Linked DNA regions of Drosophila melanogaster. Changing the gene in region 2 together with the main gene of any one other region gives a genetic interaction. Each region holds a gene or a part of one and is shown on either strand. Other genes may lie near its edges.

Region 1 (11,160 bases), on a different chromosome or scaffold from region 2:
TATTGATGTCCCTGCAAAGAAGCATGAAAAACGATTTGAAATTAGTAAACGTGGTTAAAGTTCAATAGAGTACGATATTTATGTAATAATGTAACTTTTGTTTTTTTTTTGCTCAATCCCAACAAGAAAACGTTAAGTTAACAGAATTAAAAGCAATATTTTATCAAAATGTTTCACAACAAACTAACAACTTGTGCAAAATTCTATACTGTCAACTTCCTGGTATTTTGGCTTAATAAAAAGTAAGTACTTAATTGGCTTTCCATGACAAAGTACATATTCTATAACGAATTCCCCGAGCAGAGAGCATTTTCCCTTTTCTCGGCCGATTTTCTCGTCTTTCATAGCAAACAGAGAGTTTATTGAGATGCTGTGTCTGCTGTTCGGCGGTCAGCGCCTCTTTTCGATGATGTCATGTGAATATTTTTAGTTCGAGCACGTTAAAAGATTTTCGTACTACTCGTTATTTTATATTGCGGTTCGCCCAGACACACACACACACACACACGAGTAGATAGTAAACAATACAATCATATGAGACGACTCTCCCAGCAAACAAAATAAAATAATTTAATTATCGACGGGTAGGCAGGCAGAAAGCATAACTGGAATTCTTCGCCAGAGGAAAATCACTACATGGAAAAGCGAGAAAAATTTGCATATAAATTACTAACTGCATTACGAGCTGATAAGCATATGGGTATGGCCGAATAACAATTCAATTTGATTTAATAACACCTTTCTTCGATGCGCTCAGGTGATCTTGCACATTTCACTTGCCACGCACAATTGCAGTCTAATGAAATTGGCCAATAAATGCTCTCTAAATGTTTATGCGTGAAAGCCCAGACACGAACGAAACAGCATTGCTAATGCAGTTTAGCCGCTTCTGGTGTTGATTTACAAACTCGGAGGATATAAACGATTATGTAAGCCGCCTCTTTCGTGCGCTACACAATCGCTTTTTTCAACCTCCCCCATTTTTTTTTTTTTGTAATATTTCTTTTTTTTTTTTTTTGCATTATGAATTCATTTATGCGGCAACACGTTTGCGCTTATTGTTGCTTCAGCTCAGCTCACAGCTCATTGTTATATGCCGATGATAATGATGATGGTCTTTTTATAGAGCTTTATTGTGTTGCCCTCGTGTTTGGCAATGCTTTAGTGCAGAGATTGTGTTCGAAAAACCAGATTTTTTTTATCGACATTTGTGCCCGGTACAAAAATGGGTTAGCATTTAAAAAGAGGAAAATCATCTGACAGGGTATTTAGAATTAAAGGTTGACGGAAGAGCAGCAAGCAGCAATTGCAGTGCCATTTATTGTATTATGGTCAGCCACTTGTCACGTTTGTACAGCCACAAATGTAAATTACACTTAATTCCATAGTATTTACATTAATTACAACAAAGTGTGGTAATTTTAAGATACAGGAAAAAAATAAGAACATAAGAACTGGTTCCCATTTCCCACGCCCACACAACCGGAGAACGAAATTAGCCTAAATTCCAGTTTAAATTTAGTTCAGTCGGATCAGACCACCATAATAACAGGCTTTCAATCACTTTCGGTCGACAGAGAGGGGTATATATGCAATGAAAGAGAGGAGAGAGAATACAATTCAATTGAAGTTCAAGCGCAGCGCAGATGAAATGCAAGCAAGAAATGTTGAAGAAGGCAAGAAATGCAGACACACAGCTCCATCATCATCATCTTCCCATCTTAACAGAAATTGTCTACATTTTTCTCCGCTTCGCTCCCCAACTTTTCGATATAATTATCCACATTGTTTTGCTTTCCTTCTGCGGGTCGCCAGCTTTTAAAGCTGAAATAACAACAGCAAACAGTGACAAACACAGTTGACTGCACTTCAAGGCATTGTTTGAGTAGGGAGATCTTTATCTTTTACATATGATGTGGATTTAAATATTTTTCAAAGAGTTCAGAAAGCTTTGAAAAATGCTGGATGCTTTTCTGTTCGGTTTAAACATTTTAACTTTACTTAATATCCATAAATCTATCTCAAAACTGAAATATATTTAATACTAAAGACTAACCGCAAAGATGCTGATTGTTTTTTTTTTTTACTAAATTAAGTTTTTTTTATATGCTTCCAAGCAAAACCTTTAAAGGGTGTAAAAGCTTCGACATGCTGACAACTCTTTTTCTCTCTTTTCTTCCAAGATTTATGTTGTGTTGCAGCAGTTTGTTGTTGCACGATGCGGCCGTGCTGCTTCTGCAACTGTACATTTGTTATTGCTTGTCGCTGTGCATGCCGCTGTCTCTGTCTATCTCTTTAGCTGGGTTTCATTGCCTGGTTTATTGTTGTTCTTGCTGTTTTATTGATGAGCTGCAGTTGTTTAGCCAGCAGCAACATCTCTCTTTTTTTTAATCTTGCTTATGTGTCTCTGTTTTGAAGCTTGGCACGTACGCCTCTTTTATTTATTTATGTGTGAGGGTTTTCAGGCTGGCTATCTCCCCTTCATTTTCCCGTCTCACTCTGTTGCATCTTCACGTCAATTGGCTTTGGGGCAGAAACAGAGTAGAATTTATTTTTCAGTTTTTAGGGAGCCATAAATTTTGAGCATTCGCTCTTGGACAAATTTGTTTTTCGTCTTAGCCAGAGTTGCCAGACTCGCAGAGGAGCTCCACTGCAGCCACATTAATCAAAATTATTCAGCTTAATCCTAACCATTTTCAAATCAATTAATCACAAGTGATGTGACGTCAGTGGGAATTTTGATAAGCACACGCTTGAGTAAACAATTTTCAGTTCCCAAATCAAAAGTCATTAGGACTGGTTGGCCCCATCAAATGCATTTGCATTGACGGACACGCCTCAATAAAGGTTAGAAAGTTAGTCTTTTCGTATACTTGAAGTGCATTTCTTATCGTTTTTCTTATTTGTTTTATTTGTTATGGTTTCGGGGGCTCACAATTTCGAATTTCCGTCTCATTTCCATTCCAAAACATTTTTTGTTGTTTAGTTTCCTCAACAATTGTTTACAGTTTTAACTATGCACTTCCTCCCGTGAGAATGAAACGCACACAAAGAAAAAAAGAGGCAGTCAATTTTATTTTGGTTGACCCGTTGACTACGAAAACATTCAGAATTTTCCAATCCGTAAAGATTTCGTACTTTACTTTATGTTGTTTAGGTTATATCATATTTCGTTTTTTTTTCTGTGTAGATACTTTTATGTGTCACTTTTTTTTAGCGGAAGCAATCGTTTTTGTATTATTTTTGTTGTCTTTTTACACTGAGTCTGCTTCACCTTTTCAGTATTCGTAGTGCAAATGGAATTCAATACAAATAATGCCTCAACGATTTTCGAAAATTCTCTAAATGCAACTTGCGGTGTGCAAAAAACCTCAATTGAAACCCTCAACCAACGAGTCACGTCTAATTTGCGAATTGAAAACGGACAACAGAGCAAGAGGAACAAGTGAAAAGCTTGATAAGGGGTGATAAAGGGGGAGGCAGCATAAGCAATGAATAAATAAAGCCCACTGCCCATGTATTTCTATGAGTAAATTCGAATTAGCAACAAAAGCCAGCAAACAAAAAGAGCAAATTTTTATTTTATTTTTTTACCTTTTTTATAAGCAATGTGTGCGAAATGACGTCATGTATCGCAAAATATGTAGCTAAGGCAAATGGAATGCTCGAATTTGATATGATGAGTATATAGAACAGGAAGTAAGGTAATAGAAATCGAAGAATGTTGTAAATAGGTAGGTAGTTAGTTGGTGGCAAAGGAGAAATTCCTTATAACTTAAATTGGGAATGTTGTTGGCTTGTTGTAATGTGGATATGTAGGTACTTGTATAGAAACAGCAATCTAACAAGAAAACGTAACCAGCGCGAAGGTTCTGATAAGATTGCGGGAGAGCACACACACAATCGAACTCCTATGACTTGCATAAGAACATCTATAGAAGGCTATATATAAAACAAAGTTTTATAGGAAACATTGCTAATTTAAATTATATTAAATTCTATAAGCGTAATGTTTCATTTAAGCATAGCGCATTGAATTGGGTTAAAGAATAATTAAAGTAAAAGGTTATCAATTCCTATTCGTTCAAGATTACAATAAATTACAGAAATATCAAGATGGGCTCTGAATGACAACAAAAAATTTAAAAATCGAACTGACTGAGTATCAAGAACTACCTCCGATACCTATAAAGTCTATTTTGTAGGCATTGGGTTGCACTGACAAATGGCATAAACAAGTTTTCAATATTTACAAATCTGTTTATCACTTGTTGCTGCTTTTCACTATTTACTTTGCTGAAAGGCGAGAGACCAAGGAGGAAAAGTGGGTCATGAAACTTGCCCACAGATGCGCGCCAGCAGGCGGATTTATTGCCCAAGTGCATTAGGCACACGGCTAGAGATTTGCAAGTGGCATTCGCAACAAATTGCCAAATAAAAGATGAATAAAATCAGCGACGAGAATTGGAAAATGGGTTTTTTTTTTAATCTGACAAGCGCATAGAAAGCCGGAGGTAGAAAGAAGCATGAATCATATGGAAAGGAAAAGCACACGCACACACAATCACACCCACCCGAAAAAAGAGAAAGAGAGAAGAAAAGTGGCTAGAACTAGAAGCTCAAACAGTGGCGTCTGAATGGGGGTCAATGTGGTGCTACACCTTAAACATTTGCTCATATTTCCGGATAAATTTAAATATAATATGTTCTTGATCTTAAATGACATTTATGACCCCTGAATAATAATCTGTAGTTTCGCCACTGTCTATGAAGCATAACAACAAAATAGACACACTACTCACTCACACACGCCGTGTTGCGTGAGCTTGACCAAACCCAAAAAACAAAAACAACACTTATTAGAGAAGCACAAAAGATGGCGTCACCGGCCGAATTGCCGCTCATCGTCATAACGGTTAAAACGAATGCAGGGCACGAGGGGACATTCACTATTTAACGGGATTATAACACATCATCCGGTAGATGCAAGAATACTCACCGGTACTTTTAGTATTCTTTTAAATTCGTTGATCCTCCAGTGGCCGCTAACACAGGCACAGGTCACAAATACAACGGTCACACTCACTGTATGTGTTAGAGGAGAAACGCACGCGTTTTTTATAAATGTATTCTCGCTCTCGCACCTCGGTTTTTGGTTTTCAGCCGCTAATTCGTACAAACACACATACGCCACAGAGGGAGACTATCAATAAAAGGGGAGGGAGAGGGTAGAAAATTTTAATAGATTTAACTTTTTATTGCCTTGAATGCAATATGTTTAAAATAAATAATTTTGTTCTCTTTTGGGCTTCTTGCACTACACCAAATAACTGTTAATATTTTTTTTTTTGCAAAATTGCCGCTCCTAACAGCACTTAGCACTTTTAATTCTTTGAATTAAATTTTAGTTGCACCGCAGCGAATAAATATTTCAAGTTGAATTGCCTACGAGAACTTAATCCAAAATCGTACGGACACGTCCGACGGGCAGAGCACGAATGAAGCGCAAAAGAGAACTGCGCACGGACAGTGGCAAAGAAGCCGAGAGAGAGAGGGCGGGCAGTGTTAGGCAACGTCAAGTGGAGATGTTGAAAACAACTAAACTGAAGTAACTTCCAGACAAACTGGCTTCCAAACGGGGTTAACTAAATTCGGTAAACAATCGAAAAGCATTAGTTTGCCTTGCAAATCACTCAAATTGCGCAAAAGTGTTCAAGAGAATACGAGAAGAGAGCGAAGGAAAGTGGGAGAGAGAAAGAGAGTTCTTCATCCTGCAACGCCCAAATATACACGCTTGTGTGTGTGCGAGAGAGTGTATGGGGAGGAACGAATATTTGGAGCAAAGCGCAGGGGAAAATAGCGGTGCAAGTCCTTTTTGCCACCTTGACCACAAACAAAAAACGCCTTTTTTGGCGCTCTCTTCGCACTTTTAGGTATTCTTCGCACAAAAACTATGTCAATTAAGCCGCACACGTCGATTATGTCATATTATTTATACGAATACACTTTCACACACAAGCGCCGCGCCATATACACACATTCGTGTCCGTGCGTGTGTGTGTATGAACGGCGTCGCATTCTCGTCACCGGCAATGCCGTGAAAAAATCGATGGTCAATTTGCTGTACGGGTGTATTCGCCTCTATTTTCTCGTTTCATTTAATAAAGTCTATCACTAATTTTAGAAGCCCACTAATTGGTCAATGGGTTCGATAAAACCACTGCTTACAATTTGTAAATGCTGAACTTCACGAAATTTCGCCCGCGTGATGTGTTTCGTTTTCGATATTTCGTACTACGATTTTGTTAGGGATGGACAAACCTGACGCATGTCAATGGGTCGATATTTGTTTGAAATATCGATGCTCTTATCGAAATATTTTTCAGTAAAATCGGGCGATTATCGATATATTTACATTGAAATAGGGCTGGCAAATCACAAATTTCGGCAAAATACTTCGATAAAAATAAATACCAAAACATTCGATAGCAGTCAGGTGTTGAGCTACAGATATAAATATTTGTAGTGAGTAAATATCTCCGTGCGGTGAAGGTGCGTGGTTCCGTTACTTTATTGTTGTGCTGTGATTTTGGGGAGTGAAAGTGCGTGATTCGATTCGGAAATCGTTCTCTCGACCAATCAAGGTCCGTTGGAAAATGGGCAAATATATATAGTATTAGAAATATCAAGTGCCTATGACGAATATACTATTCTTTACGAAAATATGGTGGTCACGGGAATGAGCCAGGCCAGAAGAATGCATTAATTACCAAACCTGTTTGGGTTTCGCCGTAGAATTACCAATGTTCGCAAATACAATAACAGATGGGTCAGCCAATCTAGCATATTTCGCCCCAATTAAAGGCCAATTTACTATTGTCACAGAAATATATACCCTATATGTGTCGTACATATGTAGTAGTTCCATGGGTCAATGTCAATATCCCGGCTTAATATGGATAAAAAACGAAGCTTAATCTCCCGAATGGCGCACACCCTTTGAGTCACTAGAGAATCTCATGCTTCCGAATGATGTCACACAATATAGCATATATATATAGCGGCTACATATGTATAAATACAGCATTGTATATGTAGAAACATTTGAATTATATTTGGGTGCGAACCGAGACATTCTTGTCTCCAAAGTATAATTTCAGTTTGCGTGAATTAAAGTAATTTCATTTAGCCCGACTTCCAGTCACACTGGGAATACTAACGATTCTGTAATGCTCGTTAAACCATATTTATGTCTCTGGGTGTGCTTTTAATTCCACCGCGAGGCTTATAAGTAAATATGGGCGATATAAAAAATATTGGATGTTGCTAACTAGTCATCAAATGTTTGAACAATAAATATTTATTAATGGGTTTTTAATCTGAGGCGGCACCTTACACTGCTAACTGATATTAAACTATATATGTACATATATTTTCAGATATCTGCACGATGGACGACTTGAGGGGATTCTTGAGGCAAGCGGGACAGGAGTTCCTCAATGCAGCTGGTGAGGCTGCAATGGGAGCGGCCAAGGATGTGGTCGGATCGGTGATCAACGAGATCTTCATCAAGAAGGAGGCCGACACCAAGAGGGTTCTGCCCAGCATCAAGAATATGAGAGTTGTAAGTTGACCCACACGGTTATCAACAGTTATTTATAGGGCGCTATACTATACTAAACAAACATAGAAAACAATCCATTGAAATCTACATATGCATGTTAACAAATACATATACATTCCACTCATTAGCAACCATTGCAATCTCAAAGTAATAGTACGTTGTACTATGGGAACGTAAGTACCTACTCCCGTCATCGTAATGGCATTGACATAATTCCATTCCAAGGATAATGCGCTGCCAAAGTGTCGTACTGTGTTGTCCTTGTGTTCTTTTTCTTTCGCATGTAAAGTGTAAAACGCATCATCGTTTATACAACTCCATTACACAACTTTATCGTGTACATACATAATACTCTTAATCAAGTTCATCAATTTTGTTAGATTCATATCACTAATAGCATGTATTTTTTAGCTGGGAGAGAAGAGCTCGAGCCTGGGACCCTATTCCGAGGTGCAGGACTATGAGACAATATTGAACAGCTGCCTGGCCAGTGGTTCCCTTTTCGAAGATCCACTTTTTCCGGCTTCGAACGAGTCTCTTCAGTTTTCCCGGCGTCCAGATCGTCACATCGAATGGCTGAGACCTCATGTAAGTTTTAGATACTACCATATTACCCGTAACTAAAGGTATAAATGCTTTAATTATAAAGGAAATTGCCGAGAATCCCCAGTTTTTTGTGGAGGGTTATTCGCGTTTTGATGTTCAGCAAGGCGAGCTTGGTGACTGGTAAGAACAAAATCTCTATTTCCGCAGCCAGAATAATTAATAGTTTTAAATAAATGCTTACATTTACAGTTGGCTCTTGGCTGCCACAGCCAATTTAACTCAGGAATCCAACCTTTTCTTTCGGGTAATTCCAGCGGAACAGAGTTTCGAGGAGAACTATGCTGGTATCTTCCATTTCCGCTTTTGGCAGTATGGTAAATTATTTATTAAAAAAATTATTCATGCGCTTCTTACAATTTTAGTTTAAAATTTTAAGGTAAATGGGTTGATGTAATCATTGATGACCGTTTGCCCACTTATAATGGAGAGCTGATGTACATGCACTCCACGGAGAAGAACGAGTTCTGGAGCGCCCTGCTGGAGAAGGCTTATGCCAAGTAGGACTACATTATTCACATACTTTATGGTCAACTGATGTATATATGCTTTCTAGACTTCATGGATCCTACGAGGCACTAAAGGGAGGCAGCACTTGCGAGGCCATGGAGGACTTTACTGGCGGCGTATCCGAGTGGTACGATTTAAAAGAAGCACCCGGCAATCTATTCACCATTCTGCAAAAAGCAGCTGAACGCAATTCCATGATGGGATGCTCGATTGAGCCTGATCCAAATGTCACGGAGGCAGAAACTCCTCAGGGCTTAATCCGTGGTCACGCTTACTCCATAACCAAGGTTTGTTCGGAAAATTGCTATGATAAGAACATTTTATTAATTAATCTTATGTCAACAGGTTTGCCTTATTGACATAGTAACGCCAAATCGTCAGGGAAAGATCCCTATGATAAGAATGCGAAATCCTTGGGGCAATGAAGCCGAGTGGAATGGACCATGGAGTGATAGCTCACCAGAATGGCGCTATATACCCGAGGAACAGAAGGCGGAGATTGGACTAACATTCGACAGAGACGGAGAGTTCTGGATGTCCTTCCAAGATTTTCTTAACCACTTCGATCGCGTGGAGGTAGGACTATTAATATTTCTTGGTGAAATATTTCATGATTCATTCGCCATGATTTTGTTCAGATTTGCAATTTGTCGCCGGACTCACTGACCGAGGACCAACAAAACAGTGGCAAGCGAAAGTGGGAGATGTCCATGTATGAGGGAGAATGGACACCCGGTGTTACAGCTGGTGGTTGCCGCAATTTCCTGGATACCTTCTGGCACAACCCCCAGTATATTATCACCCTAGTCGATCCTGATGAGGAAGACGAAGAGGGACAGTGCACCGTCATCGTGGCCTTAATGCAAAAGAATCGCAGATCGAAGCGCAATATGGGAATGGAGTGTCTGACCATTGGTTTCGCTATCTATAGCCTTAATGATCGCGAACTGGAAAACCGTCCCCAGGGTCTGAACTTTTTCAGATACAAGTCTTCTGTGGGAAGATCGCCGCACTTTATCAACACCCGCGAAGTACGTATACGGATATATCCAGGATATGGCTGCAATCACTTAACATATGCGTTTCTTATTTAGGTGTGTGCTCGCTTCAAATTGCCTCCTGGTCACTACCTGATTGTGCCTTCAACTTTCGATCCAAACGAGGAGGGAGAGTTCATCATTCGAGTGTTCTCAGAAACTCAAAATAACATGGAGTGCGTACAAGTAGACAATGACAATGAGTTTGTATATTAGAAATAATGAGGGGTTTCTATAACTAAAAGCTTCTTACGTGCAATATGTGGTATGTTGTGACTATAGTATTCTTTAATCTCTAGTGCTAGTAAATGTTTGACTAGATTTGTTTCTTTACCCTCTACACATTCCTGACAGATAAGTTGGTTATGCCATTTTTTAATCACTCCTCTTATATATATTTTTACCTGAGATTAACGCCTGCAGTATTCCAGAAACTCGAAATATATTTCTTCTAGATAAATTCAAATGTAATGTCGGTCTGTCTGTTACATGTTAAGAATAATTCTGATCAATATGAAGTTCAATTTTCTTAATTTATCAGTTATAAAAAGGGTGGCGGCAGCAACATAGTGAAATCTATTAACAAAGTTAAATTTTTCGGTTTATTTTTAACCCTTGTTTAAATTGTATTTTTGTCATGTAACGAGATATTTATTAAAGTAATAATAAAGGAAACTTCCACAACAATATACTTTTAAAAATGGACCCCAACAAATTAAGCTCATCTTGAAAATCTGCTTCTCAATACTCATTAGGCCATTCGAAATCCTTGTACTGTAAATTGTATTGTATTCCATTTGTTTCTCTATAAACGAATTGTTTTCCATTCATTTCAATATCAATCATTTCGCTTTTCACTCCCATCTAGAGAGAATGATGATCATGTGGGTTATGGCGGCAAAGCCGATACGGTAAGTTAACTGTGGTCAATGGGATCGGGATCGCTTATTCAGAAATTTCGCTTTAAAGATTACGCCAGGATTCCCAACACCCAAGCCCATCGATCCTCAGAAGGAGGGCTTGCGACGCCTCTTCGACAGCATTGCCGGCAAGGACATGGAGGTGGATTGGATGGAATTGAAACGCATTTTGGACCATTCGATGAGGGACGGTAAGGCTCGAGATTAAAAACTACTCAAATGGCTTTTCAAACAACGATTTCCTTTCAGATTTACCCAAACCAGTGGTTTTCAACCGTTTCTCCAATAACATGGCCTTTGAGACCCAGGCTGCTGGCCCTGGTGACGATGGAGCTGGCGCTTGTGGACTTTTATCCTTGATTTGTGGACCGTTTTTGAAGGGTACGCCATTCGAGGAGCAGTTGGGAATGAATGATCAGTCGAACAAGAGGCTGATAGGGGACAATCCGGCGGATGGAGGTCCTGT
Region 2 (11,366 bases):
GGCACCATGTACTACCTGGACGACATCCTGTACTCGCACATGCTGCGCGACTTCGTAAGCAAGTCCACCAAGACGAGATCCAATCGGCACGGCAGCGATTCCGGCGGAGGATCACGGAGCACCTCGCGGCCCAGCGACGTGGAAATCGTGCCCAACGAGTTCGAGGGGGAGCACAATGGCGGCGACTATGCCATCCACGGTGATGACGAGGACTTCGAGGATGAGATTATCACGCCCAAGGCGCTGCCCGTCCAGATCTATGAGTTGCCCAAGTAAAGGGCGGGATCATGACAGCTGGGTTAGTGTCAGAGTATATATATCGCGATGGTAAATGCGAAAATAACACAGGCGGCACTTTGAGATTGTTTTTGGGATCCCTCAATCGGCCTTCGAGTCTTGTATCAGTCTATTTCCGAAGTAGGAGACATTCCAGGCCCTTCGACAATTAGTCTATTGTCGCTTTATATTATTTTGGCAATTAATTAGCAGTATGTACAATATTTTTTTGCAATTGATCTGCGTTAGAGGAACGAATGTGAGAGGGAGGCGAGCGCTAAAAGCGTTTTTGTATAGTTCTGGGCTAATTTTGTAACGAATTTTTCTAGTTTAGTTCTTAGTTTTTCATGTATGTTTTAAGTTTAGCATTGAACGAGGCGGTGAAACGAAGTATACTACAAAGTCAACATCAAGAGCAGCAGCAGCAGCGACAACAGCAAATATATAAAATCTAATCCTAAAGAACTTATCAGCGATTTAGACAAAGCTTGTAGACATAGCGAGAAATTGCAGCCAACAAATTACTACAAATATTTAAAGAGTAAACGAGTAAGAATAAAGCATTCCCGTAATATTGGATTTAGAAGCAAAATTTCAAAAAATATAAAAATATACGTATACTATGCACATTAGCGCTCATCAGTGTTTATGCTTTTTTGAGTCTATCCATATGAGGGAGCATAGGAAAACATATCGGCTAAATCGGCGAATCGAGCCTAGAGCGACCAAAATTCAAACGCAAAAATCCCTGGCATGATATATCTATAGAACGAGTATATTACGAACAGATATTGTATTTTTTAATTTACGGTATTGATATTTAATGTATCTGTGTATATGAACAACAAAGCAATGAGAACGGAGCATCCAATTTTATAATAGTTTGTTAAAATAAAAACAAAAATCTTCCAGAAAAATAATTCCAGTCGCATAGCATTTCGTTGAACTATTTTATTATGAATTAGTTAAACTCAATACATTTGTAAGTATGATTATATTTATGTACCGATCTGGAGTATTGTATATGCGCTTGTATATATGTATATGCATGTAAATAATACCTGTAACTCTAATTGACTTAAACAATAGGATTCTAGTGGAGAGCTTGTACAATAGTTGGCTAAATATTATTGTTCCGGTTTAAAGCCATAACTTAACATACTGAAACGAAGCGGTCCATGTGCCAAATGCCATGGGGTAATGGAAATTTGAGTAGGCAGTGGAAAAATAATGGAACTATCATATCAAATGCATATTGCTTAAAGTGGTTACGGAGAGTGATATGATGTGGCTCTTAGGTTACCTATAACTCGACATGACACACAAAAATTCTTGTTTCAACTACAACTACAGTATGCAACATAATAATATACGATCTTGAGCGTTGGCTGGTCACACAAAGTCGCCCGATTCTAGAGTAATATCAAATTCTACAATGTTTAAGTGTATATCTTTTTGATTTTTAAAATGAATTTATAATTTTGCTCGAAGTTCATTTGGTCGATTCGTTATGCTTGTATTGTTTTGAGATCCAATTTTGTAGAGCAGCGTTGTAATTAGAAATTCCGCACAGTAAAAGTTCTCTGTCCCTGGAGACATAAAATCTTACAAAAATTCCTTGCACATAGCGAATTGAAAACTGAAGTAAAAACTGGTCTTTCTACTATAAACTGGTATCACTTTTGAATATAAATATAAAACCCAGCTTACTTTTAATATAAAATCGTAAAAGCCGTACAAAATTTATGAGTTTGAGAGAAGTTTAACTCCATACTTAAATATTTTAACTACAACGCTGATCTACCAGAAGCAACTTATTTTATCCACATTTAATCATTGTGCTCGTTCAGATTATTGCTGTTGGTAGTGCTTGGAAGGTTGTTTTGACTGCTGGTTGTCTCAGTCTCGTTATCACTTAAGCTGACAGGATCTACAACTTCGATATCCACTTCAGGAAGCGCTATTTCAGCTACAGCTCCACCAACAGCTCCCTCGAGTTCATCGGCAGCGATAGGCTTAGGCTTGAAGGTGTTGTTATCAGCATTAAGTTTGTAGTTCTTGTAGGGATCTGGCGACCCAGGAGGCTTAGGCTGCTGCGATTGCTGTTGAGCTTGAGCTCCTTGCCGCTGAAGTCGCCTCTGCTGATTGCTGAAGGTGGGACTCTCCGATCTAGCCCGTTGCAGCAGAGGGCGCTGCTGATGATAGGTGGAATTGGGATCGTAGTCGCGGGATCTTCCGAATTCAAAACCATTCTGCCACTGAACGTGCACATTTTCGTAGGAAGGATCCTCGTACTGATAGTTACCAGCCACCCTATTGGGGTTTCTCTTTTCACCGTTCCTCAGGCGACTCAAAGTGCTGTGCAGTGGGCGAGCTGATGCATTTGCGTCTCTTCGTATTGTAGAAGCTGCTCCGGCTGCCGCACAAGCTCCAGCGCAGGAACTCTGGAAGCGTACCATATCCTGGGGAAGACCACTCAAACGGGGTGTGCCATACGGATTTGACATCTGAGATGCCACTGAAGCTGTATCGCAACTCACGCAGTCACGGGAAAACATGAAGTTGAAGTCAATTACCTAATATGGACGTACATAGTCAGATTCGTTCGAGGTAAAAAGAAGAGAAAATGTTTTTTACCTTGCAATCGGGTCCCTGGCCAATCCACAGCGGCAGCCATTTGTTTACTAGTAGCCATTGCAAACTGGACTTGGAGATACGATTCAAAGTCCCATTGCCATTGGTATCTCCAGATGAGCTCGAGCGTGCTGCTGCTGTAGAAGTTTTCTTCGCCAAGGTTACGCTCTTTCCCGATCCAGTGGATGTAGTTTTATCCAAAATTGGCGATGCGGCCGTGGAGGATCCTCCCGACTCCTTAGCGGGTTTGTTAGCTGTTTTCACTTTCGGAATGGCTCCTGTTGTCCGATTGGCATTAATGTTGGATGAGCTTGGAATACTATCTGCCGCAGAATGCTCTTCAACAGCTGCTGCTGCTGATCCAGCTGCCCCCGCGGACGCCGATCGGGATGCTCGCTCCATGGACACATTTGGCGTCAATGGGGAATTATGGGCAGCCATGGCAGCTGCCGTTCCAGACGTTTTGTAAATATTGGTCATACTCTGCGAGTTCTCACCGTGCAGGCAGCTGAAGAAACTGGAGGCACTGTTTTTCACAGGAACCTTAACATTTGCATACTCCACCGGAACTGTGGATCCAGCTGCTGTCATATAACCTTGACAATTTGGAACATTGCAAGTGCCGGTCCCAGCTACGCCAGGAGCTGCTACTCCCGATCCATTGGCGTTCAATCGAATGTGTCCCACGGTTCCGAAGTGCGAGTGTCCCAATACCGCGTAATGTCCGCCCAAGTTATAGTGATCGATGTTGCCGCATGACGAGCTAAGGTGCCTTTCAATTCTTCCGATTCCATGACCCAAAACATCGAGACGTGTATAGAGCGGAACTCGATTCGCAGCGGATGTGCGGTAAAGTGGCTCATCTCGAATCTGCTCATAGATGTTCTCGTATCGCATTGTTCCCGCTCCGGCGTAAGGCAAATTGTAGCCGTCCGTGGACTCAGTGTCGTCAAAACTGCGCTGGCGTTGACAATTGGATCGACTGTTCGTATAAAGTGGAGTACAACGAAGACCGCTTCCACATCGATTTCCTAGAGTGGAAAATATAGCGATTAATGAAAATTCATTTGTTATACGAAAAGTTAGAAACTATGCGTTTAAATGCTGATTTAAATGTGGGCCGTTAAGAACTAATAATTGATTTGAACTTCGTGTTTGTTTTGAAGTTTAAATGGTTTTTGCTTCCTACCTCACAACATTTAAAAAGGCTGTTTGCTTAAAATATTCACGAAAATGAAGGCAAACCGATACGTACAAAGTTATATAGCACAAGCAACCGTTCAAAAAGAGGTTAATTGAAAGACAACTTTTGAGCACTTCATACTTAAAAGTACGAATCAAGCTAGTGTAACTGTCTTCTGCTTAATATTATTCTTAATCTCACCATTCTGCATATCAATCCTAAAGTTGCGTCTGTAACCAAGGCCAGATCTCACGGCTCTCGGAACATCATAGGCGGAGCAGACTCCGCCGGCGGCAGATCGATCATACAAATCATTCCTATAGTTATTCATGGGCAGTATGCGTTGAGGTTGTTGTGGCTGTGCTTGCTGTTGTTGTTGTTGTTGTGATGGTGCTGGAGCTGCTGCTGTTGGCGGTTGCGGATTATTGTTGGCATTAGGTTCAGTGGGAGCTGGTTGTTGTTGTTGCTGAATTTCCTCGGCATTTGCAGGGGCATTGGCATTGGCGATGGCTGCAGCTTGGTTGCTGTTGCTGCCGCTGTTATTGTTGTTGTTGCTGGGCTGTCCAATTGGCGCGTAGATGTTCTCGTAGTGCGGATGATTTGGCTGGGGAGCTTGAGCCGGCGCAGCTGGAGCTGCAGCCGCTGCAGCCCCACCAGCCGGCGCCAGATTACCGTAGATGGCACCACCAATGGCGCCCTCCATCGTGCCCTCCGCCTGGCTATTCTCATCATCCAGCAGTGCGATGGCCAACGAAGCAGCTTGGCTGAAAAGAAACAAGAGAGATTATTATAATTTGTTTTGGTAACAATGCTTCCATTGACTTACCGGGCCAATGCACCCTGCTCTTCCATTCACATGGGCTTGTCGATCATACACACGCCCGCATAGCTGCGTCCGATGGTCATCAAAGCAGGCAGTATTCTCCAACTGTCCGAGTCCGGGCAGTAGACCTCCACAGAAGCTAGATTTGAGGTGCCATCATCGCCACCGACCACATACAGCAGGCCATCATGAGCCACCACTCCCGCATTTCGCCGGCAATATGACATGTCTGCCACTGAACGCCAGGAGTTCGTTTCACAATCGTAGGCTTCAACAGATCTTCTGACCATGGGACCATCGTGACCGCCAACGGCATAAAGGATATTGTTCAGCACTCCCACTCCGGCGCCACTCCTCCGCGAACTCATTTCCGCCACATTAACCCATGTGTCCGTGTCCGGATTATAGCGCTCCACTGAAGATAAGCACTGACGAGTGAAGCCATCGTAACCGCCCACGGCATAAAGAAGTCCGTGGACGACGCCTACGCCCACAGAACTGCGACGCGTGGACATGGAGGCGATAAACCGCCAGATGTCAGTCTTGGGATCATACATCTCGGCACTCGACAGACCCGTAGTGCCATCGAATCCACCCACGGCGTATATGCAACCATTGAGGACAGCTACTCCCAGGGTAGATCGTCTGGCCTCCATGTTGCTGCAGTTTGCCCACTGATCCGTGGCAGGATCGTAGACATCTACGGTGCGCACACGCAGTGATCCATTGAAACCTCCGACAGCATAGACTTTGTCACCCAGGACACTTAAGCCGGAGCGGCATCTGCGGTTGGGCATTTCGGCGGCCTGGTACCACTTTTCCTCTCGCAGATCATACCACTCCACCGATCGTATAGCCTTGGGTGCTTGTCCTCCAATAACGAGCAGTATCTTGGGCATGCCCACCGGCTTCCTGGGCACCGTTCTAGCGGACTTTGTCTCAGTGGGCAGTAGATGATAGGTCAATGCCTCAATGATGAGATTCTTGCACACGATATTGCCCTCGAGGAGGATCTCCTTGTCCACACGTTGTGTGATGTACTCCTTGGACAGGAACGGCAGACGCACATGCTCCATGAGCAACGAGGTGAACTGTTCCCGCATAGGAACATCGTAGCGCAGCCAGGCGATGACGCACTCGTATACGCGCTCCTCATTTGGAACCGAAATCCGGTCGTTGCCAATCAGGCTGATGACCTGCTCGTGCGAGAGGTTCAGAAACTCATCGAACTGGATCACCTCGCTGCAAATAAACCAAACACAAGCAGTTAGTAATGGGGCGCAAGGAATGAGAGGAGTGGGCTAAGTAAATTTAATTAATCGCAACCGGTTCAATGGTTTATATTGCACATTTGCTTTCGGTTTTGCGTCTGTTTACTGTTATATAAACTTAATAATTAACTAATTTTGTTTCTGCCTGATGAAATCAATGAGAACTTATATAATTCTGATACTTTGGTTATTACTAATTCAGTAGTTGAATTCGAAAATATAATTAATATAAGATTAAATTCGTGATCTTATGGAAACCCAAAATTAGCGACTTCAAACAGATGCTGGAAGACACCAATGCGTGACTGTTAAACTATTTAAATTTTGATACATTCCAAACACACCTAGGAATTTAATCGTTTTTATAATATAATTAAAAATCCTTTTTGTTGAGTCTAAGGAACTTTAACTTGACACATGTTATTAAATGTTACTATAATTATTAAAATATCTGATCCCATTAATCGATTCAATTGATATTGTTGTACGGCAGCTTTCTATCCTCAATAAATAATAAATAAATAGTCACTTCACTGGAATTTAAATACGAATTACTATCCGTAGATATAGAACAAACTAAAGTGAGTCTTCCCAATATACATGCTCTAAAAGTGAACACTGAACAGATACAGTAATGGATTCCTATCTGTAAACAGGCAAATCAAAACAATTTTATATTTGTCTGCCCATACTGCGTCATCACAATCTAGCCACTTACTTGAAATGCTGCTCGATGTAGGTCTCTGCGTAATTGAGAAGTTCCACGCAGGCATGAATATCGGCAAACTCCCGGATGCCGAGGCAATTACTGGCATCCAACTGAGTTTGCAGGAAGTCGCAGCAGGCATCTCGCACATCCGTGAGCTGGAGCAGGTTGGCGGCGGTCAAGAGGACTTGCACGTTATCCTCGTTTACCTCCACCGTGGCAGTGTATACGTAGTCGATGAGCAGCTCCAAGGCCCGAGCATCGACACTCTGGAGGGTGATCCTCGCCTGCCGCGACTCCTCGAAACTGGTGAACATCGCATAGAAGTACGGACTGCAGGAGGCCAGCACCATGCGGTGAGCGTGGATCTCCACATCGTCGGCCACCAATATCACATCACAGAGCTGTTTTTGTCTGTTATAGGTAAAAATATATATATATCAGATTTGATACATTTTTTTGTACGCAGTAAATTGGTTAGTAACCGTCATGTATCGACAATATTGAGACTTTGAAATCCACTAGCAATAGATCGTTTTGATTGCCAAATAAACAGTTTAAAAGCGTGCTAAATATCTTCAAGGCTGGTATGTATGTTTGTAAACAAAAGTGCTTGAATTTTTTCAAGAGGAAAATATTTTGTTTTGTAAAAAGAGACGGGGATGCTATTAACTGTGCAAATTATGGCGCCATTAAATGATGATGACTACTCGAAAAGACTAAGATCTTTTGTCTTCAAAATCGTAAGGTGTTATAATTATAACCCAATAAAAAAAATCTCATAGAATATACACCTCACGAAATATTTGTGTGATTCAATTCCCAATCAAAAAGCAATCCACATTACAACGCTCGGCTTACTTTTTGGGTTATACCACATTCACTTTCGCGCCGAATACGATATGATTGGTCCGAAAAAAAAAACTCGTTTTATGTAAGCTACCAATAAATTTTCCATACGCCCAGTAGTTTTCCAAAAAGTAAGCAAAGGCGGAGACGCGGAAGCGGAATCGAAATGCGATTCGAAAACGAATATCATTTTTGGCCGCAACCAAGTTCAAGGTCGTGGCCCAATGCGAAACCCGAAGGCGTAAGCAACTCATCATAATAAAAACTAGACAATAATTAATGCGAATGGCCCCACGACAAAAGCGGCGGCAAATATTCGTTTATACATATGTAGTGTGCAAACACAAATATTAGCAACGGCCAGATAAACAAAGCGAACTGCGCAAATATGCGAGAGACGATCATCTGACATTTTCAGAGATTTTATTTTCGCATCTTGGCCCAAATCTCAAAGCTCGAGAGCCAGTCGGTCCACCTGTTCCCGTCGAACACGCAGGGATTGAATCATGCGCCTTTGTCCGGGAACAGAGGAGATGAGTTTATAATAGAGTGTAGTTAGCACAGTTCTATTTATATTAAGTTGAGGTAGGTCGTCATATTTAACAACTGAAAGTTTTAGTGGTAGAAACTCAGATCAGCTTGTTTTGTCAAGGAAATAGTAACTGGGAAATAGCTGACACCTTTTTAGAACCTGAACGAACGTTCAGCTGGTTTGCTGTTGAGCAAACAAATGACATTTGAAACATTTTTCGAACCGTTGTAGGTGTGCTTATTTACATAATCAGGCTATAAAATCACATAGATCTAATTCTGCATATCATTAAAAGTCCTATGTGGGTGCTGTGTGTTCTATTCTCCAGGGCAGGTACAAAATAACCAATGTTCTACCTAAGGTTTTTAAAACCTCTCACAGGTAGGAATTAGGATATAATACTATTTGTGGATCTAAATATACTGCCTTAAGGTCTTTAGAAACCCTGGCTACTTCTTTATGATGCTTAAGGACTTAACCAAATTTTATAGTCGTACGAACTGATCCTTCGACAGGATCTCGTGCCATCCTTACTTTCTCATCTCGTTCATGGCGTCGAAGGAGCGCGCCGTATGCTGTTCATTGCTGTACTGCCCCACAGTGCCGCGCTCCTTGCCATTTGGCCGCTGGACGTGCTTCTGGGAGCTCTCGTCCAGGGAGTTCTGGCTGGCGTAGCGCAGAAGGCAGCTGCCCCGCTCCAGGCCACTTCCCTCGGCGGCGGGATTCTGATGGTGGTGGTGCTGCTGCTGTTGCTGCTGCAGCAGGCGGTTGCGCTGCTGCATGGCTGCCACGCCCACTGCGGCACCTAGTCCGGGCGGTGGCGCCACGAACTCCGCTCCCGCTCCGCCTTCATTCTGTGCTGGTTGTTGTGGGTTCTGACCCTGTTGTTGTTGCTGCTGCTGCTGGTTGTTGTTGTTGCTGTTGCCATTGCTTAGGTTGCTCATAATACCGATCGTATATTTGGTTAGCAGCGCACTCAGAGCTATCATCCGAAACGGATCGGAAACGGAAGTCGCAGCGAATCGAAGGTGCCTCGCCTGGTCCGAAAAAACAAACCGAGGTGGTGAAAAATTGTACACTTTTTGGACGCGACCAGAGCAGTGTGACCAGCCTCGGGTTGGTCGCAAGTTACCACTAGCGATGAATACTCATCGATAGTCCGATAGGCATTTTCAACCAGTTCTCACTGAGCTGGCTTTGTTTCCAACTATAAAATTAATGATAAAGTCATTTAATTTTTGAATTTTTGTAATTCACTTGAATTACATCTTAAATATGACCTCTCCCCTTTAATTTTTATTTATACGTACGTTTCAAAAAGTGTGATTTTTAAATTGATATACAAACTAATATTCCACATTTACCTAAACTTAAAAAAAGCATACCTAATTCATCTTATAAAAATATATAAATAAAATTGCAAAAAGATTACAAATATGCGACACAGAATTCATTAAGATTGCATATTCGAATTCCATAAAAGAAAGTAAAAAAGGTTTAGTTCAGCATAATCTTGATAGAATATCTATAGATATTTTATAGATATAAAATAAAATAAATAGAAATCTATAGATTTTAGTTGATTACTCTCATTTTATAAAGAATTCACGACTTTATAATGAAAATAACGAATGAGTTAAACATTCATTTGTTAAAGATATTAAAATACATCAATCATTTGGGTTGATTATGATTCCACACTTCTGATTCAAAACACACTTTGAGATTTTTTCTAATATCTTGATCAACTTTATTTGTTTGACTCTTTTTTCGATTTTGTTTTTGAATATTGATACGCATGCTCATCAACATGTGAGATATGTAAAATACATTAAATAGGTATTGGAAACAACTGCTTATTGAATGTTTACGAATAACAGCAACCACCTAGGTAGGAATACATGATTTATAATTCATTATATTAATATAGCTACAGCTTAATGCGAAAATCGGTAGTATTTACAAATGCTCTACACGTGTACAACTGACGGGTTTTTTCTTTTTAAACAAAGCACTCGCTTGCGAACGAAATCACTTCGAATAAATAAATAAAGTATATTCATAAATAGGCGAAAATTACATTTGGAAATTTGGCTAATGAGAGAGTTTTACACTAACTAAGCTGCATTCGTATCTCGTATTTACACGTAACAGTAACACATCATTTAGATTCCATACTTCAAATAAATACAATGAAATATTACAAGAATACCAGCGATTACGAAAAGCTCGATTGGCCCTTCTTTTTGCAATACTTATGTGTGTAGGAGAGAGGGTTGCTTTAGATAATAATACTTAGTTTATAGTACAATTAGCTAACTGCGATTTCGATTCTACATTCTACCAGCTCGCTTTCAAGAGTGCCACAACTCAAAAATCCGTCCGAGCTGCATTCCAATAGGTGAGATATATATGGTGAACATTTGGTTTTTGATCCATGACAGTCTTGTAGTAGCGAGCTAGCGATTTTGTTATGTGGCTTCGCGTTTGATCTTTTAACTTATGGTGGCGGCACACGCTGCACTGGGATTGTCTCAGTTTGAGTTTTGGTTTCTGGGTTCTGTTTGCCCCTCCGTCCACGTCCTGATCCTCAGGAGGAGTTGGAGTGACGCTCCGGCGTGGCGACAGTCTTCTGGTAGCAATTCAGATTGGCCGACATCCGACCAAAGGCGGCTGCCATGCGGTTGGGCAGCCTGCTGAGGTGCTCCTGAAGATTGGACGATCTGGATGAGGACGGAGCCGATGGGCCCGACGCCGTGGTGACCTGCTGCAGCTGGGCCACCACCTCGGCGTGCTGAACGTAGGAGACCCGTATGTTGACCCCCTCGTCGTCGTCCTCGTCCACCTCGCTGCCGCTCTCCACGTCCTCGTAGTAGGTGAAGCCCACCTGCTGCTCCTCCCGCTATACATTGCCGTAGTACGGCATCGGGGTGTTCTGGTCGATGGGCTTGACGCGCAGCTTCTGCTTGTAGTGATACTCCTTAAGGTAGCTCTTCAGCCGACCGGGCAGCTCCATCTGGTTGATCCCGTCGTAGCTGGTGTTGGACACAATGGTCGCCCGGGAGAGCTGCTGCAGGGAGAAGGTCTGCCTT
Region 3 (9,841 bases), on a different chromosome or scaffold from region 2:
AGATTCCTCCTTCAACGCATCCTTTTCCACTACATTTTCAACGTCATCTTCTGACTCATTGTCAGATACTGCCTTCTTTTCCTTCTTCCTTTGAGGGGGAGCGATTTTTGGCCTTTCAGCATCCTCTAAATCCGAGGGAGCTAGGCTGCATTCCCACAAGCAGAGCTGACCATTGCGGCTTATGGTGTTCAAGTGCAAGCTGTTTGCCTCGAAAAAACAAGCTACAATGGCGTCTGTGTGGCCACTTAGGTTATAGGTGCGGAAGTTCTTTGTATAGTTGATGGCAACGATTTTGGTGGAGCTATCCCGACAGCCGATTGCCAAAAGTCGAGAGTCCGAAGACCAGTCCAGCCAAGTGACATCGTCGAATCCACCTAGGAATCTTCGGCGCAGGACGAAAGGATTGTACTCCCCTGTGATCTCACCAGGTGCACAGAATATCAACACTACGTTCTGCACAGCGACGGCAAAGAATGCTCCATTTGGACTGAAGCAGATGCACTGTACGCCCGTCTGGAACTTGTGACGATGTATCACCGTACAGGACATCATGCTGATGAGCTGCGCCTCACCCTTTTCATTGACTGCGATGAGCAGACTTCCATCCGGGGAAAGAGCTATGTTCGTGTAGTTATACCGCGATTCCAGGGACAAGGTGCGCGATTTGTTGCTGCAAAGGAATAAAATATATTCATGAAGTCTTTGGATTTAAAACGGTAACTCACTTTTTTAAATCGTAGACCGTTATCCTATTGCCAACCGGACTGATAACGGAATTGCCATCCGGTGTGAACACCAAGTTTCCATTACGATATATTGTGCCCAACAGGTTGGAAAACTATAAAAACCAGACATTAGCAATTTGTAGTATTAACTTATGAGACAAATTACTTTGTAGGAAAACTTCATATTGCGGCGGGCTTTTAACTAAAACCACGAGCTAAAATATAAACAAAAACTCCCGCACGTGTTGAGGTAAACAGCACATGAGGATGGAATTGCACTAACGCATTCTTAAATCCCGCAGCACAGTATATACCACAACGGTGACAAACATCGAATAAAGCAAATAATAAGCCACGTCTTTATAAGAATATATAACATAATACTTAATTTTTAAAATACTTCATTGCTTAAACTTTAATTTTTTGAATTCATGTTATAAAATAATCACTTCACATTTACGGTAACTGTCATACCAGTTGTTTACTGTACTACGCTCCGAAACAGATGTTTTTACTGGTGCTGCCAACGCGGCCCAAAACCGACCAAAATATCAAAGAAAGGAAAACAACGCATTTTCACAATTTCTAAAAACAAAACAAGTTTTTAATAAAAATTACCTATGGAAAAGACGAAAACGGCTGCCGAAAAATTGGCGGAGCGCAAGGCGCGTTTGCTGGACCTACACAAGAAGCGCCAGGAGGCGCGTACGGACAACCACCAGGAAGTGGTGGCAGAGGACGCTCGCAAGAAGCTCCCCAAGAACTGGGAGGCTCGCAAGCGACAGGCGGAATGGATACTAGCGGACGACAAGGCGCGAGCCGAGGCGCAGGCAGCTGGCAAGGATTACGAGCGTTTGAAGCTTTTGGAGGTATCCGCTGTGGATGCGGATCGCATTGAGAAAAAGAAGAAGCGTAAAGACAATCCAGATCTTGGTTTCTCCACATACGAAGCTCAAACAGCTAGACAGTACAACCGATTGGTCAAGAGTATGCCTGCTCGCGATTTGGAAAAGTACGAGCGCCAGAAGGAGGAACTCGGTGACGCCTTCTACGGTGGAGCACACACCACTTTGCATTCGAGGACGAAGGACACTCCAGGTGCTATTAACAAAATGGTAACAGACCTGGAGCAGCAGATAGAGCGCCGCAAGAAGTACTCTCGCAGGAGGATCTACAACGACGATGCGGATGTGGACTTCATCAACGAGAGGAATTCCAAGTTCAACAAAAAGCTGGACCGCTTCTACAGCGAGCATACAGCCGAGATCAAACAAAATTTGGAGCGGGGAACAGCTATTTAAGTTTAGTATTTTATTACCCTTAAGATTAGAGTTCAATTTGTGCACGTATAATTTTTGCAAGTGCAGTTTACATGAAATTCGCCTATAATACCACACAATCGTCCAATTGTTTACACATAAAAGTTTAAACGTAGGAAATGTTGAAGCTGGAAGATTAAAAAGTAAACTCATTATTTCGATATTAGATGTCCAAATTTTTCATTTTATTTCGCGTAACTTTGTGAACATTCATCGTCGTTTGTTTTCTGAATGAACGTAGTAGCGTTTTCGCCCTTTGTTTCCTGTGCACAAAGTACATAGTTGGATGCATGGTCGGTGAAATAAAACGTCAATCTACATATCAAACTCCATCCCTCTACGATGTGAACTTGGTGTCTCTAGAAGAAGAAGCCGAGAATTTTGCCTCCCAAATGTTTTCTCCTAGCCTCCTCGTGGTCCATGATGCCGCCAGAGGTGGTGAGCACAACGTAACCAAACTGACGCGAGGGCAACAGATTGTTGGTCCACTTCTCGATGTCGTTGATGGGCGCATCGAAGCGGGGCGAGATGACGCCGCACTTGTTTAGCCGACCGGTCAGGTTGACAACGATCTTGCCGGCACGGTGATCCTCGACGATCTCGAATTCGCCGATATAGCCATGCTTCATCATCACGGTCAGGAACTTGATGATCACCTTGGAGCAGGGACGCAGCAGCACCTGCCGCTTGCCACGCTTCTCGGCGTTGTTTATGCACTTCAGGGCATCGGCCAATACGTTCATACGCACCATAGCTGGATTTGTTTGCCAAAACTGTTTTACACGACCGTCACGCAAACGTGAAAAAGGGAAAAAACCTTTACTTGAAAACTTCCGTAAGTACTTCTCTTAGATGTAGTTCAAAACTAATTAATGAAAATGTCAAATTACTTATGAAGCGAGTTGGCAGCTCCGTGTCCAAGAGCAAACACTTATTTTTAAACATATCGATATAATGCAGCAGTTTAGTGCGCGGGAGAAGTATTTGGTGTCCAACACCTTAAATTGTTGGCCCGTGATGCTGCAGGGTCATTCCGTACTGATCGATCTGCACAACGAGACCTCTGTGGCCGGAATCATCGATGTAGCGGATGGACACATGACCTGCGAGCTCACCCATGCAGTTTTCATCGATCGCAATGGTGGTCAGCACCCCTTTGATCACTTTATGGTGCGGAATCGAATGATACGGCAGATCCACATACCTTCGTACTTGGATGCCGAGCAGGAACTTCGAAGCGCAATGGAACGGGGAGTCCTGCGAAGAAAGCGAGTGGAAACCAAGGGCGGAAAGCGGACATTCAAGCAAAAACGAGCGGAAGTGCGACACAAGGAAACATTGCAAATGATCTCACAGCAAAAAAAGAATAAGGAAACCTAAACTATTAATATATGCGTACTTGTTATATTTACCAAAAATACATTACATACATACAACTACATTTATAGTAATAAACCTATGAAAAGCAAAACAAATTAGCCCAATCAATTATACACAAAACATAGTCTCTAGCACGTTTATTTATTCCAAGAAATTCAAACGTATACAAACTGAATATCTTATATTCCCTTAATCAAAACTCTACTTAGCGGCCTGCTGCTTCAACTGCTCCTGGTACATGTAGTGCAGCTCCATGCAGTCGGTGTTGGAGATGTTTACCCAGCCGTCCTCCTTAATGTGATACACGCGAATGATACCACCGGAGTAGGCATCCCTGAAGGTGGCATGGTAGATGGCGCGACGTCCCAGCTCCTGGGCCTCCTTGTCCTCCAGGTCCCAATGATAGCCAGAGTCCAGGACACCGTAGGCGTACAGCGATCCACTACCAACAGAGAACAAATTGCCAGGCGTGCGAGATCCCTCGGAGTCCACATAGTAGAGGCCTGGACCACGCTTATCGTAACCGGCCAGCATCATGCCCATGCTCAGACCCATTCCCTTGTATTCGTGGGCAATGTTGGCCATTATCTTGCTGGCGGCGGCCACCGAGATGCGTTCCTTGTTTCGAAGCTCGTGAAGGCGGCATTCCTTCGAAAGGACCCTGTCCCAGTAAACGCAATCGGCTGCGCCACCGGCCAAGGTGCCCAGCATGAACTGATTGATCTCCACGATCTTCTTCATCGACTGGGAGCCAATGTACGATCCACCCGTGGCACGGGAATCGACTGCCAGGAGAACGCCGCCCTTGAACTTGAAGCCCAACGTTGTGGTGCCGTGATCGAAGTTGATTTTGACGCCGGTCTTGTCGCCATTGGCCTGGATCTGATTAAGGTTGTGCAGGGGCTGAGGAAATTGTCAAATTTTTTAGTAAATTTCCCAAGAAGATCAGCTAATTAACTACATACGTTCTCGAATGGCGGAGCAGCCAGTGTGTAGGGATTGGCCAGATTGCACATAAGCCCTTTTTGCTCTTCCTCCACATCCGCCGATGACCAGGCATTGGGCCGCATGTACGGAGCATTCGATATCTTGCAGATTTCAGCTAAAGCCATTCTTAAAGCTCCTTAAAAAACAATTGGAAACGTTGAATGCGAAATGCCGATGACAAACAAAATTCGTTGCCTACTTGTAGAGTGACCGTACTTCTGTTGGAGCAATAATGCAGACTATCGGCTTCACCGTTAGCTGTCGCAGGTACGGCAACCCAGCTCGAAACCTGTTGCCAATTTTGCCTGTGATTGGCTTTCTTTTAGTCTCTTTTTAGGCCTGGCTTGAAGCCAAATTAACTCTGGGCGTTCCATCAATCCATCAATGGCCAAATACTGCAAAGTCGGGTACTGAACAATAGTCGAAAGTAAACATGTGTAAATACGTGAGAGTGGCGAATTGCAATGCGTAAATTGCGGTCCAAAGACGGGATTTAAAATTAGTGAAAAGTAAGTCGGGAATCGAGAAAACCTAGGCGCACTTTAAACCTGGTTTTCAGGTCTAGAAATTTACTGTAATAGTGTTGAACATTTAAGAAACCATACATGTTTTATCAATGTGTTATAATGAAAGACATTTAATCTACCCTCAAAAAGGTTGTATTTCAAATTACGAGTCCTTTATTTGATCGCTTTTGGTAACTCCCACTTCTATTTGTAATGACAATTACTACGTGGTACGCCATTACGTGAGGCACACATACATGCGCATACACGGCTAGAAAATGTGCGATCGAAGATCAGATTCATTTGATCCCAGGTCAAGTTAAGCTCTTTCGTCGTCAACAAGGTTATATCAAAGAATACCATCTTTCATATGATTTTCGACATATAAACGATTCTAACGGTAATTACGGTACTTTAAGTAAGATTTTTCATTTATTAAAGACAAAATGTAGTTCTAATATAAATAATTTTTTTAATTTTATCTGGTTTTGATAAAGTGTTACTTAAAAAGTTATAATTGCAACACATCATGATAAATGAATGAAATTATAATTTAACAAATTTGATAAATAATGAATATTTTCGCAGACAATGCAGCATGGATCCTCCCGCATTCCGAAACAGGAAGCTCTCCCGAATGCGATATCCGGGGTAAGTAAGGGCACTTGCCTGAACCAACAAATCTTACACCGATGTAACTTCTTTTTCTGATTTAAGCCCGACTCCAGCAATTGGACTTCGCTGCACGAGGCGGTAGCCGCCGGAGATGATCGCCGGGTGGAGGGTCTCCTGTTCAGCAATGCTGATCGACTGGCCAGGGAATCCGTGCAGGGGAATACCCCGCTCCATGAGGCCGCCAGTCGGGGGTTCAGTCGCTGCGTGAAATTGATCTGCACGCCCCCCACGCCACCCGCTTCCTCGGGGGTGGGAAAAGCAGCAAAGGGACAGAAGGACAAAGACAAGGATAAGAACAAGGGCAGAGTGAAGGTGGCCCACCAGACCATCGAAGCCCTACACAATAGCGCCCTGGGTATTGCCAACAACGAAGGGTTGTCCGCCCTGCACTTGGCCGCTCAAAATGGTCACAATCAGAGCTCTAGGGAGCTACTGCTGGCCGGCGCCGATCCCGATGTCCGGAATAATGTAAGTGTTGGATCATATCAGTGATAACCATGTTTAACATGTTTAACAATTTCAGTATGGAGATACTCCGCTGCACACCGCCTGCAGATATGGACATGCAGGAGTCTCCCGGATCCTGCTCTCCGCCCTTTGCGATCCGAATAAAACAAATCTGAACGGCGACACCGCTTTGCACATCACCTGTGCCATGGGTCGCAGGAAGCTGACAAGGATTCTCCTAGAGGCAGATGCTCGGCTGGGCATTAAAAACGCACAAGGCGACTGCCCCATGCACATAGCGATCAGGAAGAACTACCGTGAAATCATCGAGATCCTGAACACGCCGAAGAAGATACGGAATCGCAAGGAGAAACCCAAGGAGGGCGGCAGCAGATCGGACAAGGACAGAGATCGTGAAAGGGATGTGGTGGACAAGGGTATCAACTGGTCACCCTATGGCTGTCACTACTTTCCCGATCCGCGTGCCTTTCCTTCACCAAAACTGGAGACACTGCCCAAGGAGCCACTTAAGTCGGGGGAGCAATACTTCCTGGATTTGGCTGGTCATATTCACAAGGGTCCGGTCAGCGTGGGCAACACATGCTATTGCGGTCCCTTCTTCCGTCACATTGAAAACAAACTAAATTGCAATCGAAAGAGTTTGAAGAAATACGTTCACAAAACCAAGGAACGTCTAGGTCACAAAGTTCAGGCATTGGCAATCAAGACGAACGATCAGATTGAACAGCTCACAAGAACGATGATCGAGGACAGATTGCGATGCGAGAGCAAGAGGCAGCACCTCAGTGAGTTCCTGCGACGAGGTGAACCTATGCGGTCCACCTTCGATCAGCAGAACAAGAGCTCAAGGATCGAAAGAACAATGTCCAGGTGCCGCAGTCTAGAGCTCTTGGAAAACAACCACGAAGGTGGTAGGCTCACCAACTCACGGAGTGTAGATGTCCTGGAAGATCAGGCAGTGGAGGCTATAGTACACCGATCAGCGGAGGTCCAGGTGGATAGCGACAGCGATGACGATTCCAATGAAGCTCGGGATGAAGAAGAGGCAGAAGTGGGTGACAAGGACCAGGTGCAAGAAGAGGCGGAACCAGAGGAGCACTCGAAGCTAGATGAACTTAAGCTAGATTTCCTAAAAGTCTCCGAAAGACTGGGAGTGCTTTTAGAGAAAACCACCCTGATCATGGAAAGGGACAGCGAACAGGAGAGCAAGCGCCAGCTTTCTTCCTTATCGCCACCTTATAATCCCCATCCAAGGGCGGAGTCTGCCCAACTTCGAGAAGATAAAGAGAGTGTTAATAGTCCCAATTTCGACGAGTACGCCAACGTGATACGACGCTATCCGAACTCCAGTGAGACCTCAAATCCCTCCCAGAACTCCAACAGCTGGGACTGGGAGGCATCACCCACGGGCAGCAATCCCCACCCGGATTACAATAAGTACTACCAGCGCATTGGGAGAGGAGAGAACATGCTGAACTCGGTGATCAAGGCGCTTCGAAAAGATGCCTCCTTCGCGGATCTGGGCAAAGAGGAGACGGCTGTCAATGAAACTGCCGAGGGAATGGGAGGCGACAAGCTGCTCTACAAGGAGCAAGCGAGCGAGGCGGCAGGTATCTCCAATCTGATGAAACGGCAGCCTCTTTGCTTGGAAGACAACTATCCCGTCATGTCGAATTTATTTTACTCCAATCCCATCATGGAGTACGCCGAGGAAACAGAAGTGCGTCAAAATGGCAATGAAAGTATGAGTAAGGTGGAGATTCGGAACAGTGAAATCAAGTGCCTAAAGAAGCCGAACGCTGGTCAGGTGAGGGATATGGTGGCCCAACTGCAAAACACCATTGACTCCAATCGACAGGACTCCCAGACGGCACATGTGATCGCCGCAAGATCACACTCCCGCTTGAACAATAACTTCCATCACTTGGAGGGCACCTCTTCGAACCCTTCGCCCACGTATAGTATTCCCCACCGGAGTAGCGCCCAGTTTGGGCTGCCCGAGAGACACATACCCAAAGATGCTTACTTCCATGAACTGCCCCACCGTCCACCGATTCCGCAAACTCCGCAGAGAAGGCTGCACTCCGGCTACGTACCAAATGCGAGTCTCTATCGCAGTGAAGATCTTTACGTGGGAAGGATTCCACATCCAAATGCTCCACCAAGACAAGTGGACTACGTGGATGCGGTAGCCTATAGGCCTCTGCAGTCCCCCACCTTTCAGGCCATTGTGCCGCCCCATGTTAATCAAAGGCCAAGGAACTGGCCTCATCCCAATCTTCCATCCAATGAAATCGATCTGGACGAGCTGTCTGCCGTTGGCCTCTACAACAATGTCTCGAGTCTAGTTTGAGTTCGGTAATCCCACAGCTGTTCCCATTGTACATAGCTAATCCCTACATATTTATCTTAATTGTAATCAAGTTTTAAACTACAAAGAAAAGTTAACTTATTTTCAACTGATGCATCTAATCTGGAGGGTCTAAAATATATAAATATAATACAAAGATATATGTACAATAATTTTGTTGTTTTTTGTTGAGGAGTTTTGGGTCTGAGTGTTTTCATATTCTGCGTAATTTATGAGAATATCGTGTACTTAATTATTTGGTTATTCCACTTTTGACCCCAAAAATACCCAAAATATTAAAAACGTTCCAACCTGCTCGCTTGTAAATCAAACGCAACCGAATGTTTTCGATCAAAATATATTTTTCTTTAAAAATGTTTAATAATAGTATTTATGCATGTGTAAATATCAGAATGTCAAGTACATATATTTATTGATAACAGATCATTTTGGTGTTTTGATAGACATGCGGCTTATGAACTCTGTATAATTGTGTAAACGAAATCAACCAGGAAATCATCTCAATAATCGAGCTCCGATGTTTGGTGGGAATTCAAAAAAACCAAATCCCCACCGCTGACAAAAGTAAACAAGTAAATTGGGCAACATTTTGATATCGTTCACCAATATGTCTGCGGTATTGTTAGTACAATTTTAGCAAGTGCCTAATGATGATTTCTCGATGTCTTCGTAGTTAATTTAAAATTCTATAAATGACACTGCTGCTGAACGGCGCCTGCTACTTAAATTTATCGGCCACTTAATAATATCTTAATTCTGAATAGTCATATTACAAATACAAATTACAATAGCCAATAATTTAGTCACTTCGCATGTATGTATAAGTATGTCTCAATGTAGGTTTGTTCTATGTAAGTATGTATATGTATATCGCCTAATTTAAGTCTATTAATAATAGTTGTTGCTTTCTATTTAGGGGGCGTTGTTGGCTTGGAAATTGATGTGACATGAGTAACCCGGCTTTTTGCTCTGCGTAACTTAACAATGTTGGTCTCAGGACTGTTGTTTTATGTGAACTATGATCGCTTGTGTGTCGCCAAGTGACATATTTTCGGTCAGGTAACGTCTCAAAGGGGACTGTTGTCGGAGTCTTCGCGCTCTTGGATTGTGGTAATGCTTTGCTGCAAGGCATTCGGTGTCAGCCATTCTCTAAAAAACAACATAGAGTAGTTAATAATCATGAACTTGGCTTTTGTTTCACTTAGAAAGGCTTACTTTGGCAAACATCTTTGTAGAAATGGCACACAGGAGCTGAAATGCGCTAGACGATTGACCCAGCTGGGTATTTCTTGGCCGCAAAGTATCTAGAACGAGTAATTGGAATTGCAGATATAGTCAAATGAATATTCATTTGGGCTTTTAAGCTTGCATTTTCTTGCTCCTAAACTCGAATCGTTTGGAAGCATCTAA

Evidence for each region.
Region 1: of kel (region 2) and hts, changing one suppresses a phenotype caused by changing the other (phenotypic suppression), as found in Drosophila melanogaster (one study listed by BioGRID).
Region 3: of kel (region 2) and Prosbeta5, changing one enhances a phenotype caused by changing the other (phenotypic enhancement), as found in Drosophila melanogaster (one study listed by BioGRID).

Annotation. Positions count from the first base shown.
Region 1 is NT_033778.4:19,418,595-19,429,754, forward strand, and holds the start of hts (hu li tai shao), read right to left. Parts: upstream 6,310-11,160; 5' UTR 6,229-6,309; intron 5,521-6,228; exon of another isoform or gene 5,204-5,520; 5' UTR 5,000-5,203; intron 12-4,999; 5' UTR 1-11. Other genes in the region: CalpA (Calpain-A), read left to right, coding at 7,451-7,624, 7,753-7,797, 8,036-8,212, 8,274-8,350, 8,420-8,544, 8,607-8,727, 8,784-9,024, 9,083-9,313 and 5 more. UniProt on the Drosophila melanogaster protein: Required for assembling actin at ring canals in developing egg chambers. Probably interacts with other developmental proteins involved in nurse cell/oocyte transport through the ring canals. Important for normal neuromotor function.
Region 2 is NT_033779.5:18,128,669-18,140,034, forward strand, and holds kel (kelch), read right to left. Parts: upstream 9,416-11,366; 5' UTR 9,264-9,415; coding exon 8,809-9,263; intron 7,308-8,808; coding exon 6,906-7,307; intron 6,159-6,905; coding exon 4,946-6,158; coding exon of another isoform or gene 4,920-4,945; intron 4,858-4,919; coding exon of another isoform or gene 4,295-4,857; intron 3,942-4,294; coding exon of another isoform or gene 2,914-3,941; intron 2,853-2,913; coding exon of another isoform or gene 2,106-2,852; 3' UTR 1,216-2,105; downstream 1-1,215. Other genes in the region: CG5758 (uncharacterized protein), read left to right, coding at 1-276; Socs36E (suppressor of cytokine signaling at 36E), read right to left, coding at 11,177-11,366. UniProt on the Drosophila melanogaster protein: Component of ring canals that regulates the flow of cytoplasm between cells. May be involved in the regulation of cytoplasm flow from nurse cells to the oocyte during oogenesis. Binds actin.
Region 3 is NT_033778.4:10,814,768-10,824,608, reverse strand, and holds Prosbeta5 (proteasome beta5 subunit), read right to left. Parts: upstream 4,632-9,841; 5' UTR 4,611-4,631; exon of another isoform or gene 4,548-4,610; 5' UTR 4,537-4,547; coding exon 4,390-4,536; intron 4,328-4,389; coding exon 3,626-4,327; 3' UTR 3,431-3,625; downstream 1-3,430. Other genes in the region: CG12325 (uncharacterized protein), read right to left, coding at 1-670, 726-838, 892-909; CG12343 (uncharacterized protein), read left to right, coding at 1,346-2,026; RpS15Ab (ribosomal protein S15Ab), read right to left, coding at 2,404-2,796; Lsm10, read left to right, coding at 2,999-3,424; dgo (diego), read left to right, coding at 5,509-5,568, 5,635-6,060, 6,116-8,413; CG7222 (uncharacterized protein), read right to left, coding at 9,499-9,580, 9,647-9,735.